Pelodiscus sinensis: one gene and its partner. The protein of the gene in region 2 interacts with the protein of the main gene of each other region in a pairwise test. Links are inferred from orthologs where the notes say so. Each region holds a gene or a part of one and is shown on either strand. Other genes may lie near its edges.

Region 1 (7,019 bases), on a different chromosome or scaffold from region 2:
CGCTGAGCCGGGGCAGCGGCGGCAGAGCAGCTACTGCAGGGAGAGAGACGGGGGGGCGTCAGCATGGCTGGATGCAGGAAAGGGGGGGCACGGCCGACTCAGCCCCCCGCCAGGACTTGGGCTGGCTCTGACTCCACCGCCCCCAAGCCGCGGAGAGAGCCACGCACCCTGCTCTAACCACTAGGCCCCACTCCCGCAGCTTGAGGAGACTCTCCTGGTCCATCCGTTAGTTGACGCCACCCTCCTTGGCGAGGGGCCGTATCCCAGCACGCAGGAGGCGCCGCATGCAGAAAACCCCGTCCCTCCGTACAACCCGCAGGCACGCAACAGTCCGGAGATGCAGCCGCTTCTGGGGCGGGGAAACAGGCGACCAGCCCCACATGGAGCCGAAGCGGCCTGGCTCTCCTGACGCTACAAGGCAGCCATCGCTCAGGCAGGGCAGCCAAGGCATTTGGAGGATGCGCCCAGCACGGAGATGCAGCCACCTCTTGGGTGGGGCAGCCAGGAACAGCCACACATAACGCCTCCCCAGGGCCACCAGGAGGGCTCTGGCTTTGGGCTCCCGGCGCCCACCAAGGCGGAGGCAGCAGCCCAGATGGAAGGCATGTGTCCTTCCTCCCTCCCTGCTCAGGGAGTGGCTGGGAGCCAGCGCCCACGGGGAGCCTGACTCACACTGCTCGGGCTGGGAGCACGGCTCCTTCCGCAGGCCCCGCGGCCCCGCTCCCTGGCGGAGGGGCCCTCGGCATGAGCGTCCCCAGCCAGGCCGGATCCGGCCAGTCCCGGGACCCTGGAGGGGAGGAGGAGATAAGGACCCACACGGCCGCTCGGCTTGCACGGCTGCAAGGTCAGTGCGAGGCCCAGCCGGACGCTCGCGCTCCAGCGCCTGGCCCCGTTCCAGCGGGAGTCGCTCCAGCCCGGCGCTGCCCCCTCGGATAAGGGAGCGCGCCCAACGGCAACGCTCCAGCAGGGCACTCCCAGCGGCGCCGTGCGTGACCGGTCCCTGGCTGCTTCTCCCCAGAGCAGGCTGCATCTCAGGGCCGAGCGAGCTCTCCCCGAGCTGCGTTACGTGCAGCTGTTTCCCCAGCGGCCTCACCCCAGACCTAGCTGCACCCCTGCGCCAGACTAGCCTGCCACCCGCGGCGCTTTCCCGCCCTGCGCTCCAAACCTGGCCGCCCCTCGGCGCCTGCTATTCCCCAGCGGGCCTGTCCCAGAGGCAGCCAGCGCCGGGGACCGTGCGGCTCTTCCTCTGTGCCAGGCAAGCCCGCAGGGCCACGCAATTGCCTCCCGCCGGGAAGGCAGCCAATTCCTCACGGCCGTTTAACGCCATTTCAGAGGATGGCGCTGGCCTGGAGACACCAGGCCGGCCTACACGTTTCAACCCCCTTGTTTTCCCTTTTCGTGCGGGGTGGGGGGGGGGGGAGGGAATGACGACTTCCCCCCCCCCCCCCTCAGCCCACACCACGTGAGACCTGAGCAACTGGCAAACTGGCAGCTCCAGCCCGAGCTGCGACAGCCTCTCCCTGCCGAGAAAACGCACCGAGCGTGTCGGGCACAAACCTCAGCCCCACGTCACGAGCCGAGTCGCAGACGCAAGCCACCCAGCTCCGGCTGGGGCCACCTGCCAGAGGCGGGCTCCTCCGAGCCCAGCTCGGGCCCCGGGAGCTGACAGGGGCCCTCGGGCGCCCGGGGGAGGGGCCAACAGGAACCGCACAGACGGCCCCGCGGCAGCCGAGAAGCCAGGGCGCCTCCCCGCCCCCCGATCGCAGCCAGGCCACACGCAGGCCTGTTGGGCCACTGGCCAACCCCCCAGAGAAGGCCTGAGCCGTGCACCTGGTGCCACCATAGCGCAGCGCCTGTCCAGGTAGAGCCAGGCCGGCCAGCTGTGGGGGGGCCCAGCGGGCGAGGGGCACCCCCCGAGCGCTAGCAGGTCGCAGGGGCCCTGCGGGGCTGCGCCGATTGGCAGAGGCGCCGTAGGACGCGCGGCTGCCGCACTGGGCCCAGCTGTGCCACGTTCCCGGGCTGGGGGGGCCCCAAAACGCCCCCGGGGGGCTCTAGGGAGCCGCGGGTCCATTCGGCCCCAAGCGGGGGCAGCGCCGCCAGGCACCGGCCAGCACCGGCCGACTGCGCCGGGAGGGGCCTGGCAGCACCGCCCCCCCCCAGCCCCCCCAGGCAGCACAGAGCAGGAGGGACATAAACAAGGCAGACACGGCGGGGGGGGGCAATGGGGGGCAGCGAGACCGGGGGGGCAGAACATGGGGGGCAACGGGGGGGCAGCGGGACTGGGGGGGCAGGTGGACAACGGGGAGGGGGGGCAGTGTGATGGGGGGGCAGTGTGATGGGGGGGCAGCGGGAGCGGGGGGGGCAGTGTGATGGGGGGGCGGGGGGGTTCAGCGGGGCCGGAGCCCCAACGCCCGTTCCCAGCCCCCCCCAGGCCCGGGGTCTCCTGCCTAAGGGCCCCCCCCGCGCGGCCCAGCCCCCGCCCCCCGAGTGCGCCCCCCGGCCCCGCCCCCTCCCGCGGCCCCGCCCCCCCTCACCGCTGGGCGGCTCCCGGGCCCCCCCCGCGCCGGCGGCTCCATCCCGCGGGCCCCGCTCGTGGCGCAGCAGCGGCCGCAGCCCGGGCGGCGCGCGGGGCTCGAACCGGAACCGGAAAGCGGGGGGGGGGGGGGGGGGGGGGGGGAGCGGTCACGTGCCTGGGGGCGGGGCCTATAAGAAGGCTGGGGGGGCAAAGGAGGGGGCAGCCGCGGGGGGGTTGGGGGGCGGGACTTGGGGGCAGCCGGGGGGGCGGGGAGGGAGTTGGGGGCGGGGGGGCGGGGAGGATGGGGGGTAGCGGGGGGGCTGTGGGGGAGGGCTGTGGGGTAGCGGGGGGGCGGGGAGAGGACCGGGGGGGCTGTGGGGGGGCGGGGGGGCTGTTGGGGGCGAGGGGCCGGGGGGGGCTCACGTGGAAGCGGCGCGCGGGGCAGAGACCCGGGTCCCCCCCGACCCGCCGCTTCCCACCTGCTCCACGCTGCGGCCCACGCGGGGTCAGCTGAGGGGGGCGGGCTGATATGGCCTAGGCCCCGCCCAGAGGGCGGGTCTATGCAAATATGACCGGGGGGGGGGTAATCTCAGGCCCGTAACCCGCTATGGGAACGGGTGTTACCCCGCGGAACAACCCGCTGCAGGGTCCGCTGGATAAATAGCCCGGCCAGAGCGTTAACCTTTGGGACTCCCCGCCGCAGGGTCTGGTGGAGCAGGGGAATAGGGCAGGCAAGGTGGCATGCTGCAGGTTAACCTCCCTGTCCCAAGGTAGGGGAGGGGGGAATAGCTCAGGCCAGCTCTCCACTCTGAACTCACTCCCCCAGAGGCACAGATCTCAGGAAAAGGATGCTTCTGTTTGAAACTTGGTTTTTATTAGGCCCGTCTCATTCATTCCCCCCCCCCCCCACTTCTCCCTGCCCACACCCCAGCAGAACTCGTATCTCTGTATCTTGGGATACAGCCCCATGCCTGGAGGAACACCCATGGGTGCCAGAGCCGTGGAAAAGGACAAGCCGGAAACAGGAGGGATGGAGTGGGCAGGCAAGGGCCGGCGGGGGAGATGATGGGCCTGGGGTTGGGGGCAGGGCAGGAGGGGAAGTAGAAGCCCCACCCAGAGATGGGGGAGAAGCGAGTGGGGGCCAGCGCAGGATCATACTCAGAGCTCTGCTACATTTTCCTTCCTTTTGTTTTTTTTTGTTTTGTTTGTTTTTTAAAGAAAAAATAAAAGTTTAAAAAAAACATTAAAAAAAGAATGAGGGTCCAGAAAAATCCACCACGTCTGGCGTCGGCCCTGCAGGAGAGAGAGGACAGTTAGGGGAGCGTGGCAGCCCAGCACCCCTCCCCCCAGGAAGCCAGTTCCTGCGGCCCCATGGGAGACTGTGCCCCCTAGACGGCAGAAGCCCTTCCCCCGCCCTGGAGCCACAGGAGAGCTGGCCCCCCACGAGGAAAGGCCCCGAGCCCCATTCTCTGCCCTAGGCCCCATGGGAGCCAGTACCCCTGCCCCAGCCACGCACCTGGCTCAGCGGTCAGTGGTGGTGCGCAGGTCTGTGGTCAGCGGGTCGTGCTGGATGGTCTGATGGAGCATCAGCGCTAGCAGTCCGGCCCGGTTGGTCATGGCCATGCGCACGTTGCGCTCTTGCTCAAACAGCTCGTCCAGCTTGTACCACTGCCAACAGCAGGGGGAGCTGTTACACGCGGCGGCCCCTGGGGCATGGCAGCTGGGGAACGACCGCACGTAACGCCACAAGGGGATGGCTCACCGGACCCTACGATGCAGCCAGCTCTGGGGCGGGGCCGCTGGAGAACAGCCACATATAACGCCACAATGGCTCACCGGACCCGAAGATGCAGCCAGCTCTGGGGCGGGGCCGCTGGAGAACAGCCACATATAACGCCACAATGGCTCACCGGACCCTAAGACGCAGCCAGCTCTGGGGCGGGGCCGCTGGAGAACAGCCACACAGTGACAACCAACTGCATCAGGAAGGGGGAGGGGAAGGATGTGGGGCAGGGGGGAATTTCTAAGATCAGAAGGAATCACAGATGGCGGGGGAGGGGAGACACCTAGATTTTGACACACCCCCCCGCGTGCACGGCCCTGCCTGCCAGGGAGAGCGCCCCCTGCGGGCCAGCCCCGCTCCGTACCACGCGCACTCTCTCCAGGTCCACCTCGGCCCGGCGCAGTTTCTCCCAGCAGTAGTGGCGGTTGCATTTCCGCTTGGGAACGCGGCAGACCTCGCCCGTGAGCTCGAAGACGTCCTTCACCAGGGGGCAGCCGCACACCTCGTCCACCGACACCTGGGGAGAGCACCGGAGGGAGGGAGGGGGGGGAGTCAGGCTCATGTTGCCCCTGGCGGCCAGCCCCCCACCCTGCCCCCCCACTGGCAGCCCGTGCCCCTCACCTTGGGGTCGCGGGAGTGCTCGGGGCATAGCACCTGCAGCCGTTTGCAGTAGGTCTTGCTCTGAGGGTTGTAGACGTCACAGAAGAGGCGGGTGGCCCTGTGGGGGGGGGGGGTGGAGGAGAGGGAAACACAATGCCTGGTTGAGAGGCTGCAACCAGCTGCCTGGAGGGGAGGCGGGAAATCCATGGCTGTAGGAAGATCTAGGCAGCATCGCCACATTGTTTAGGAGGGAAACTGAGGCACGTGTGTTCAATGCTGCTTGCCAGAGCCAGGGAGAGAACCCAGGAGTCCTGGCTCCGAAGCCCCCCTGCTCTAACCCCTAGGCCCCAATCCCCTCCCAGAGCCAGGGAGAGAGCCCAGGAGTCCTGGCTCCAAAGCCCCCCTGCTCTAACCCTTAGGCCCCAATCCCCTCCCAGAGCCAGGGAGAGAGCCCAGGAGTCCTGGCTCCAAAGCCCCCCTGCTCTAACCCTTAGGCCCCACTCCTCTCCCGTGTGGGGCTGTTCTCGGCCTGGTGCGCAGCATCTCTTCACCGCCTGGCGGTGGGTCCGGGCCGCACGCTGAGGCACTCTAGCGACGTCGCAAAGCGAGGGTCAGGCTGGCAATGCTTTGGGGGACAGAGCTGAATTCAGAGGGGTCGCGTCAGAGCAGCAGGACAACAGAAACGAGGCCTCGGGAGGTCCTGGAAGCGCCTTCGCTGGGGGGTTTTGAGCCGAGGCAGGAGCCATTGGACAACAAATCCGGCCTGTGGCTGGGGCCGGCCTAGGGGACTCGCACGGTCCCCGCGAACGCGACGGGTATAGGAGTCCGCACGGGCGAGGAAGCAGAGACAGCGGGCGACAGCCAGCAGGGAATCGCAGCGGGGTGGGACCCAAGAGCACTGCAACGGTGGAGGGGAGAGGGCGGCAGGGCGGCGGGGGGAATCAGCGGGGGAACCATATGGTGAGGGACCCAAGGGCTCAGGTTGCTGGGGGAAGATTTGGAGGATGGACAGAGTCAGCCCAGACGGTCCCAGGGGGGATGGATTTGGAGTGAGCGCCCTGTCCCTCCTCTCCCCACCCCCGGGACTCACCCCTCTATGCGGGTTGGGTACATGGATCCGAAGGACGTCTGGCTCTCATACTGTGGGGAAAAGGAAGAACATAGGGCTCATCAGTGCACCGGGAGGGAGATGGGGCAATGCCGCACAAGGGAAGACTCGTTCAGCCGGGCGATGCAGCCAGCTCTGGGGCGGGGTAGCTGTAGAACAGCCGCATGGAACGCGGCACAGGGAAGACTCGTTCAGCCGGGCAATGCAGCCAGCTCTGGGGCGGGGTAGCTGTAGAACAGCCGCATGGAACGCGGCACGGGGATGACTCATTCAGCCGGGCGATGCAGCCAGCTCTGGGGCGGGGTAGCTGTAGAACAGCCGCATGGAACGTGGCATGGGGAAGACTCGTTCAGCCGGGCGATGCAGCCAGCTCTGGGGCGGGGTAGCTGTAGAACAGCCGCGTGGAACGTGGCATGGGGAAGACTCGTTCAGCCGGGCGATGCAGCCAGCTCTGGGGCGGGGTAGCTGTAGAACAGCCGCATGGAACACGGCACGGGGAAGACTCGTTCAGCCGGGTGATGCAGCGAGCTCTGGGGCGGGGCAGCTGTGGAACAGCCGCATGGAACGTGGCACGGGGAAGACTCGTTCAGCCGGGCGATGCAGCCAGCTCTGGGGCGGGGTAGCTGAAGAACAGCCGCATGGAACGCGGCACGGGGAAGACTCGTTCAGCCGGGCGATGCAGCCAGCTCTGGGGCGGGGTAGCTGAAGAACAGCCGCATGGAACGTGGCATGGGGAAGACTCGTTCAGCCGGGCGATGCAGCCAGCTCTGGGGCGGGGTAGCTGGAGAACAGCCGCGTGGAACGTGGCATGGGGAAGACTCGTTCAGCCGGGCGATGCAGCCAGCTCTGGGGCGGGGTAGCTGGAGAACAGCCGCATGGAACGCGGCACGGGGAAGACTCGTTCAGCCGGGCGATGCAGCCAGCTCTGGGGCGGGGTAGCTGTAGAACAGCCGCATGGAAAACTCGTTCAGCCGGGCGATGAGCCAGAGCAGGGGCGAGGGGAGAGTCTGTTT
Region 2 (7,018 bases):
TGGAGAAAAATAGTCTGAGTTGCCCTTTTCCCACATACATAGCGCAGGGGTTTGCAGTTATATTGTTCAGTTTGAGCATTTTCTATCCTTCAAACAATTTTACATAAATATTCTAAAAGCAGTATTTTGCACCCATGAGCAGCTTCTTCCATAACCTAAAATTCAATCCTGTATATGTAGGAGTACTTGCACTTCTGACCACTTCAAAAAGGTAAAGATTTTAAAATCTCCCAAAAAGACAATTCTCTTTGGACACTGCTATTTATTCACATATTATACCCAGTCCAAGGGTATAATGTTACATGTTAGTCTTGTAACTTTAAAAAACAAGTAGTCCTGTGGCACCTTAGACTAAAAAATATTTATAGTATCAGGAGCTTGGGTTTTGCTATGAAAGCTCATGATACTATTTATCTATCTTATATATTTATTTTAATCTTTAAGGTGCCACAGGACTACTCATCATATTATACCCAGGTGTAAAGTCAGAGGGTGTGTTTCATGACCAAGTCGTAAAATACCTGTGATAACATTAAAATATATAGCTTAAGATGCACGGATATATCAACTTACAATACTTTTCAGAATTTCTTTTTGTGACTTTTAACCTGAAATGGCAGAACAAAGTGATTAAAAAAATCCTAGGATAGTATGATCTCCCACCACAAAAACTAACCATTAGGGATGTGAATGTGTAGTCATTAACCAAGCAGTCTGGGCTCACTGGTTAATCCTAATGGTTACACACCGGTTCTTCCCTCACTGCCTCTGTATTAGAGATGGCGGGGAAGGAGAGCGCAGGTGCTCTGTGAAAGTTGGTGTGTGTGGGGAGCCGGCTCTTAAGTCAGCTCCCCGCATACACCAGCTCCCACAGAGCCACCTGTCCCTCCCACAGAGCATGGTGGGGTGGGGGAAGAAGAGCAGGCAGGAGCTGGTGATCATGGGGAGCCAGCTTTTAAGCTGGCTCCCCATGAGCACCAGCTCCTGCCTGTTCCCCCTCCCTCATGTAAACATGTAACCACTATAAAATTCAGCAGTTACACATTTAAAAAAATAAATGCATTTTTACATCCCTACTAGCTAGAGAAATGAAACAAATATTTTTAAAAAACCAACCTTCTGGACAGGTATTGAAGCAGCTAATGGACTAATATCACTCCTGTTCCCTGGGGCAGGCTGTGTCTCAGGTGAGCTGATAGAAGAGGGGGAGCTTAATGAGGAATTAGTAAGTATAGAGTCTCCTTCAGGAGAAGATTCCATTGTCTCATTTTCTGAGTTCATACTTTCTTCCAAAGACACAGCCTGGGGAGACCTTGCAATCATAATATCCTCCAGAACTACTACAGGCATTTTCCCCTCAAATATAACACTCTTGAGTTCACTCTGATTGGCCCTCTTATTCTCCATATTATTACACTGCATATTTGATAATTCAGAACAGGGTTTGGTTGTATCTATTGAATCTTCATCCTTATCTGCAGTAGCTTCATAGGGCGGACAGGTATCCATTGGAACATCCACTTGGGCATTCTGAATGGGCTTAAATGGACTTGTATCTTCTTTCGTACCATTAGTTGTCTCTATAGATGAAAATGCTTCTGGATTTAATTTACTGTGGTCTAGGCCATCAGTGTCGTTAGAGTCCTGTGTCAAGTCAAATATGAGTACAGTTTCTCTCACGTTATTTTTTATGTTTTTCTGTAAAAAGTTATCTAACGGACCCTTTCCATTAACAAGTTTGGAAGTGAACTGCATTTCAGAATCCAACTGACAATCATTCTCCATATTGTCCAAAGACGCATGTGATGTATCAAGAGTGGAATCTTTATTTTGACCAAGAACATCTTGCGAGCTCTTTGCTTTCTTAACTTCCATGCCTGCGTCACACTTCTCCTTTGGTACAAGATTCAAACGCTTGAAAGGTAACCGTGCTGAAATAGTAAGATTTTGTTACTTTAGTAAAGTCATATAAATCAGCAGAGGGAAAACTACAAATAGAGGGAGTCGATGGGTTTTTAAAAGTACAAGCAATCCTTCAACTCATAACAGGTTACGTTACTACATATACCGAACACAATTGGCTGGTTTAGCAAGTCTATGCAACACTCGATGTATAATATTTTAGAAAACACGTTGTGTCAGGAACTTCCTGAAAGTTACCTTGTACGAGTTTCCTCATGGGAATAACTGGTTTGTCTCTGCACTCCATGGCTGTAAGCAGAAAAACGCCAACATTGATGTTTAGCTCACATTTCTTCCCCATTCAGGAAACATTAAACTGACATCACACCACTGCCACCCGCCGCATCACTAGCGATCAGACCATCCCTCTCAAAAATGGAGAAGGGCAACCAGACCAGGAGGAGGAGGGTGAATGATTGAGGCGCACAGGTTTTACCAGCACCAGGCCTGCTGTGCAGGGAAATTCAGCTCCCTCCCCCGATGGGGGGAACCGCCAGAAGGAGGGTGCCGGGGGCCTGTGACAAAGGCGCAAAGGGGGAGACTAGGCGTGACCAGGGCCATCGCCCCTCAGAGGGCAGCCCCCCCCCCGCCATTTGCATTCACCACCCCCTGGTGTCCCCACGACCCATGGGGGGGGGTTACAAACCCCCTCGGGTCGCGCCCCCTCATGCACCCCGGGGCGCTCTGCAGGGGGGGCCTCGCCCCAGGCCCCCGAGACAGGAGCAGAGCCCCGGGCCCCTGCCGGGCCGAGGTCCCCCCGCCCGCGGAGTTGGTACCGTCCCCGGGGGAAGCCGGGTTCCACCTCCCTGGGGCGCTGTGAGGAGCAGCCCCCCGGCGGCGGGGACGGAAACCCCGGGGGCGTCGCCTGCCCCCTCAGCCCCGCGCCCCTCCCCCTTCCTCGCTCGCAGCCCTGGGCCCGGTCCGTACCTGCCATGTCCCGGCCCCGGAGCGCAGCCCTGACTCCTCCCCCCGCCGGCCGCGCGGACCGGGGCGCGCCAGCTTCTCCCGCTCGTATTTGGCGGGAGCCTCGGCGGCTCCACGCTTCGCCACGCTGATAGGCCCAGAGAGCCCCACGTGACCGCGGCCCCGCCAACCCTCGCGAGAACTCCTCCCCCCCCTCTCCTGCCGGCTCCAGGAAGGGGGCGGGGGGGAGGGTGAGACTGGACTGCCTCCTATTGGCTGAGGGAGATTGCATGTCATTGGGGCAAACAGCTGCCACCATGCTAGGTCAGGGCAACGATTGGCTGGAGGAGCAGCCAGGCTGGGCTAGGTCTGTGGGTTGCACAGGTGAGGGTCTGGTGCTGTACAGGTAGGGGTGGAAGATGCTCTCTTCTGCTCCCTGGTGCTATGGGCCCTGCGCCCCCTGAGTGTGACCCCCCCAGGGCAATGACTCTGAGGATGCAAAAACAATGAGGAGTCCTGTGACATCTTCAAGACTAACAAATTTATTAGGGCATAAAACGACCTAAGTAAAAAGCACTTTGTCAGATGCATTGGGGCTATTTCTACCCGCAAAAGTTTATGCCCAAATAATTCTGTTCATTTTGAAGGTGTCACAGGACTCCTTGTTGTTTTTGCAGATACAGACTAACAGGCTCCTGCTCTGAGACTTGTCTGTGTGTGCAATCTTCCCTGCTGCTGCTTCCCTTGATTATGCTAGGGGACTTTTTCCTGCAGTGTTCAACTATCCCCACAGTGACAGAGTACATGTCACCTTGGGACTGGATGCAGAGGTAACATTTCTTGACACCTTAAATGACTGATTCTTGGAGCAGCTGGTTTTGGAATCCACAAAAGGAGATGGAATTCTTGATTTAGTCCTAAATGAAGGGAAGGATCTGGCCTATGAGGTGAATATAGCTTGAACTTTTGGAAATAGTGATCACAATATAATTAAAATTAATATTCTTGTGAGGGGAAAAAAACCTGCAGCAGCCCAATATTATGGCATTTAATTTTAGAAAGGGAAACTGAATAAAAATGATGTTAGTTAATCATAAATTAAAAGGTACAGTGCCAAAAGTAAAATCTCTGCAAGCTGCATGGAAACTTTTCAAAGACACCATAATAGAGGCTCAACTTAAATGTATATACCACATTTTAAAAATGTAGTAAGAGAATAAAAAAAAGTTTCACCATGGATTAACAATCAAGTAATAGAAGCAGTGAGAGATTAAAAAAAAGCATTGTTTAAAAAGTGGAAATTAAATCCTAGTGAGGAAAATAGAAAGGAGCATAAACTTTGTCAAAGGAAGTGTAACAATATAATTAGGAAGGCCAAAAACAATTTGACAAATAGCTAGCCAAAAAAACTAAAAAAGTAATAGCATTTTTCGTTTTAAATACATCAGAAGCAGTAAGCCTGCTAAACAACCTGTGGGTCCACTGGATGATTGAGATGCTAAAGGAGCGCTCAGGGACAATAAGGTCATTGCAGAGAAACTAAATGAATTCTTTGCATCAATCTTCATGGCTGACAATGTGAAGCAGATTCCCAAATTTGAGCCATTCTTTTTAGGTGACAAATCTGAGGTACTGCCCCAGATTGAGGTGTCATTAGAGGAGGTTTTAGAACAAATAGATAAACTAAACAGATGGCATTCACCCACAGCAGATGGTATTCATCCAAGAGTTCTAAAAAGAACTCAAATGTGAAATTGTGAAATTAATAACTCTGATTTGTAACCTATCCTTTAAATAATCTTCTGTACCAAATGACTGGAGTGGAACGTTACTGGATAACACTCCTTGCCAGTATAGTATCACCGGGCCAGTGGAGATCACAAGGGGATCTGGTTTTCTACTGGCACAAACCCCCAAAATCTTGCAGCACCAACCCCAAGTTCCTGGGCAGTTATGTAGAGGAGCTCTGCACTGTGAGTGAGTACACATGTACACAAATTATGTAGTATGGTGAACGCAGACTGGACTGTCTGGTGTGTGTAATTGTAGGTGTGTGAATATGAAATTACCTGGAATGAATTTTGCTGGTGTGTTTGGTCTTGTTTACATCAAGCTAATTATTTAATTCTAAGTGTTACTAAATAGTCATATACTCCTTTATCCAGAAGTTTATCTTCTGTTTATTGCTCATAGGAAAGAAGAATTGATTTTTCAGGTCAGTTTTGCCAATGCAGGCTTCTCTGTCCTATAGGCCTCATATTATTGAAAAGGCCACAAAGAACAGAAGTCAAACACGAACAATCAAGGCATCTGCTCACACTTTAATGAGCATTTGCTTAAGAAATCATACGTGGAGTTTAGCCAAAGTTCTAGCATAACGCAGATGCAGCCAGAATCACCGAGAAAAGTGAATACAAGACAACATAAAGAACTCAGAAAACCTTAGAGGTTATTTGGCACTCCTTCGAGTTTAGGAAGGCTTTTCGGGAGCAAAGCAGGTGACTTAAATTGTCAGATAAGCACAGCTTGTGATCCAAATGCAGACGATCCTTTAGTATCGAGTAAGCAGCAATGTATGCTGGGAAATGGGATTTCTGAACCAGTACAGGGAGAATCCTGAAAACTGCAATGAGAGAGTCAAGTAGGAAGAATGCTTCTTGAAGGCACCACCAGTAACTCCCAGTTGAGGTTCCATTTAGATTTAGATTTGCGGCGGTAATATCTGGCTCTGGCACTAAAAGAGCTTTTGTCTCAGTGTCTGAATAGCTACAGTCATGGGTAGAAACAGACCTTTTAGGACATTCACTCTGAAAAATTATTAGTTTAAAAAAATAAATATTGGAAAATTGGCTATTTTTTATATTATAGGCAGGGCTGTTTCACAGGCAAGCCTATTATCCCATTTGTCACCGGGGTCTTAACAAAGACTCTAGTTATCTTACCCATTACAAAGATAGCTTCCGCAATTATCACCTCTAATATCATTAGCTCACAGACATTTACCTTCCTCCTCCACCGCATCCTGCTTCTGTTCTGAAATTTGATTTGTCCTTTTCATATGTGTTCTTTTTTTTTAAATTGTATCCTTTGGTATATATGATTGTGACTATTTTCTTCCACTATTTGATCTGAGGAAGTGGGTCTGGCCCACGAAAGCTCATCATCTAATAAACCATCTGGTTAGTCTTTAAAGTGCTACAGTGTCCTGTATTTTGTTCCCATTATAAGACCCTGTTTGGCTGATAAGTTTACTAAACTTTAAACTTTAAGCACTTGGACTGACGTGTTTTGATTTGGGTGTCATCATTTTATTTATTTATGTACTTATGTATTTATTTCCTAAATTTCTGTCAAGACTGTTAGTCTGGCAAAGTTACAAAGTGACCTGAATTTTTCCACTTAAAGCAGGAATCCAATTGGAACTGTGGCTTGAATCCAGGAATCCACATTATGGCATAAACTACTTATAACCTCTGATTTCACCCAGCATGTCAGGGTGCTGGCGACAGAGTCTTTCCCCATTGTAGAGGGGTCTCAGCCCCCATGCAATGGAGGTGGGAGAAAAATCAATAGGCATAGGAGTGAAGCTGGGTGGCATTGTCCCTTCTTGCTCACGGCAGGTGGCTTCACGTGTGGCAAACCTAAGGGGAGCTACTCATGTTTATTGCTCTGCTATTGGGGTAAAGGCATTAACGCGAACAGGATCATCTCTGGAGTAAAAGCTGTCTGGCAAATCCGTGTGTTGCTCAGACTTGGGCCCACCAGAGGGCCTCCCAGGCCTTGCAGTGCAACATTACAGATTGGCTCCATTCACATCAGGCATCCAGAAGCCCCCCAGACCTGTGAGGAGGCATAATTCCAAGTCCAGAAACTTGTGGAGCAAGAACATGACAGAGGAGACTCATGGAATGAAGCCTGGCAGTGCCGGTGGAGGCAGGAATTTTGTATTAGTTTTGTAACATTTGGGAGTGGATGGTGCCTGACTATCTGGAAGGCTCCACCTCCGGCAACTTGGTGGTCTCCCTGTCCATTGCCCCATGCCTATGACTCTAGATATGGTCCGTCTGTCTGGCTGTCCACATGCCTCTCAATTTCTGCTCTGTCTGTCCCTCTGTCTTACAGTCTGGCCTGTCTAGTCCTGTATCTCCTGTAC

The links. The genes of interacting proteins can lie anywhere in the genome.
Region 1: the proteins of CHAF1A (region 2) and methyl-CpG-binding domain protein 1-like interact in binary tests that used the Homo sapiens proteins (3 or more experiments, as listed by UniProt). The link is inferred for Pelodiscus sinensis from reciprocal best matches to the Homo sapiens genes CHAF1A and MBD1.

Annotation. Positions count from the first base shown.
Region 1 is NW_027465846.1:174,568-181,586, reverse strand, and holds the start of methyl-CpG-binding domain protein 1-like, read right to left. Parts: upstream 3,016-7,019; 5' UTR 2,995-3,015; intron 2,663-2,994; exon of another isoform or gene 2,535-2,662; intron 1,581-2,534; exon of another isoform or gene 1,558-1,580; intron 1,188-1,557; exon of another isoform or gene 1,166-1,187; intron 784-1,165; exon of another isoform or gene 747-783; coding exon of another isoform or gene 673-746; intron 559-672; exon of another isoform or gene 224-558; coding exon of another isoform or gene 168-223; intron 34-167; coding exon of another isoform or gene 1-33. Other genes in the region: CXXC1 (CXXC-type zinc finger protein 1), read right to left, coding at 4,037-4,183, 4,663-4,815, 4,920-5,016, 5,989-6,038. UniProt on the Homo sapiens protein: Transcriptional repressor that binds CpG islands in promoters where the DNA is methylated at position 5 of cytosine within CpG dinucleotides. Binding is abolished by the presence of 7-mG that is produced by DNA damage by methylmethanesulfonate (MMS).
Region 2 is NC_134729.1:22,504,932-22,511,949, reverse strand, and holds the start of CHAF1A (chromatin assembly factor 1 subunit A), read right to left. Parts: upstream 3,043-7,018; 5' UTR 2,897-3,042; coding exon 2,890-2,896; intron 2,212-2,889; coding exon 2,161-2,211; intron 1,932-2,160; coding exon 1,117-1,931; intron 1-1,116. UniProt on the Homo sapiens protein: Acts as a component of the histone chaperone complex chromatin assembly factor 1 (CAF-1), which assembles histone octamers onto DNA during replication and repair.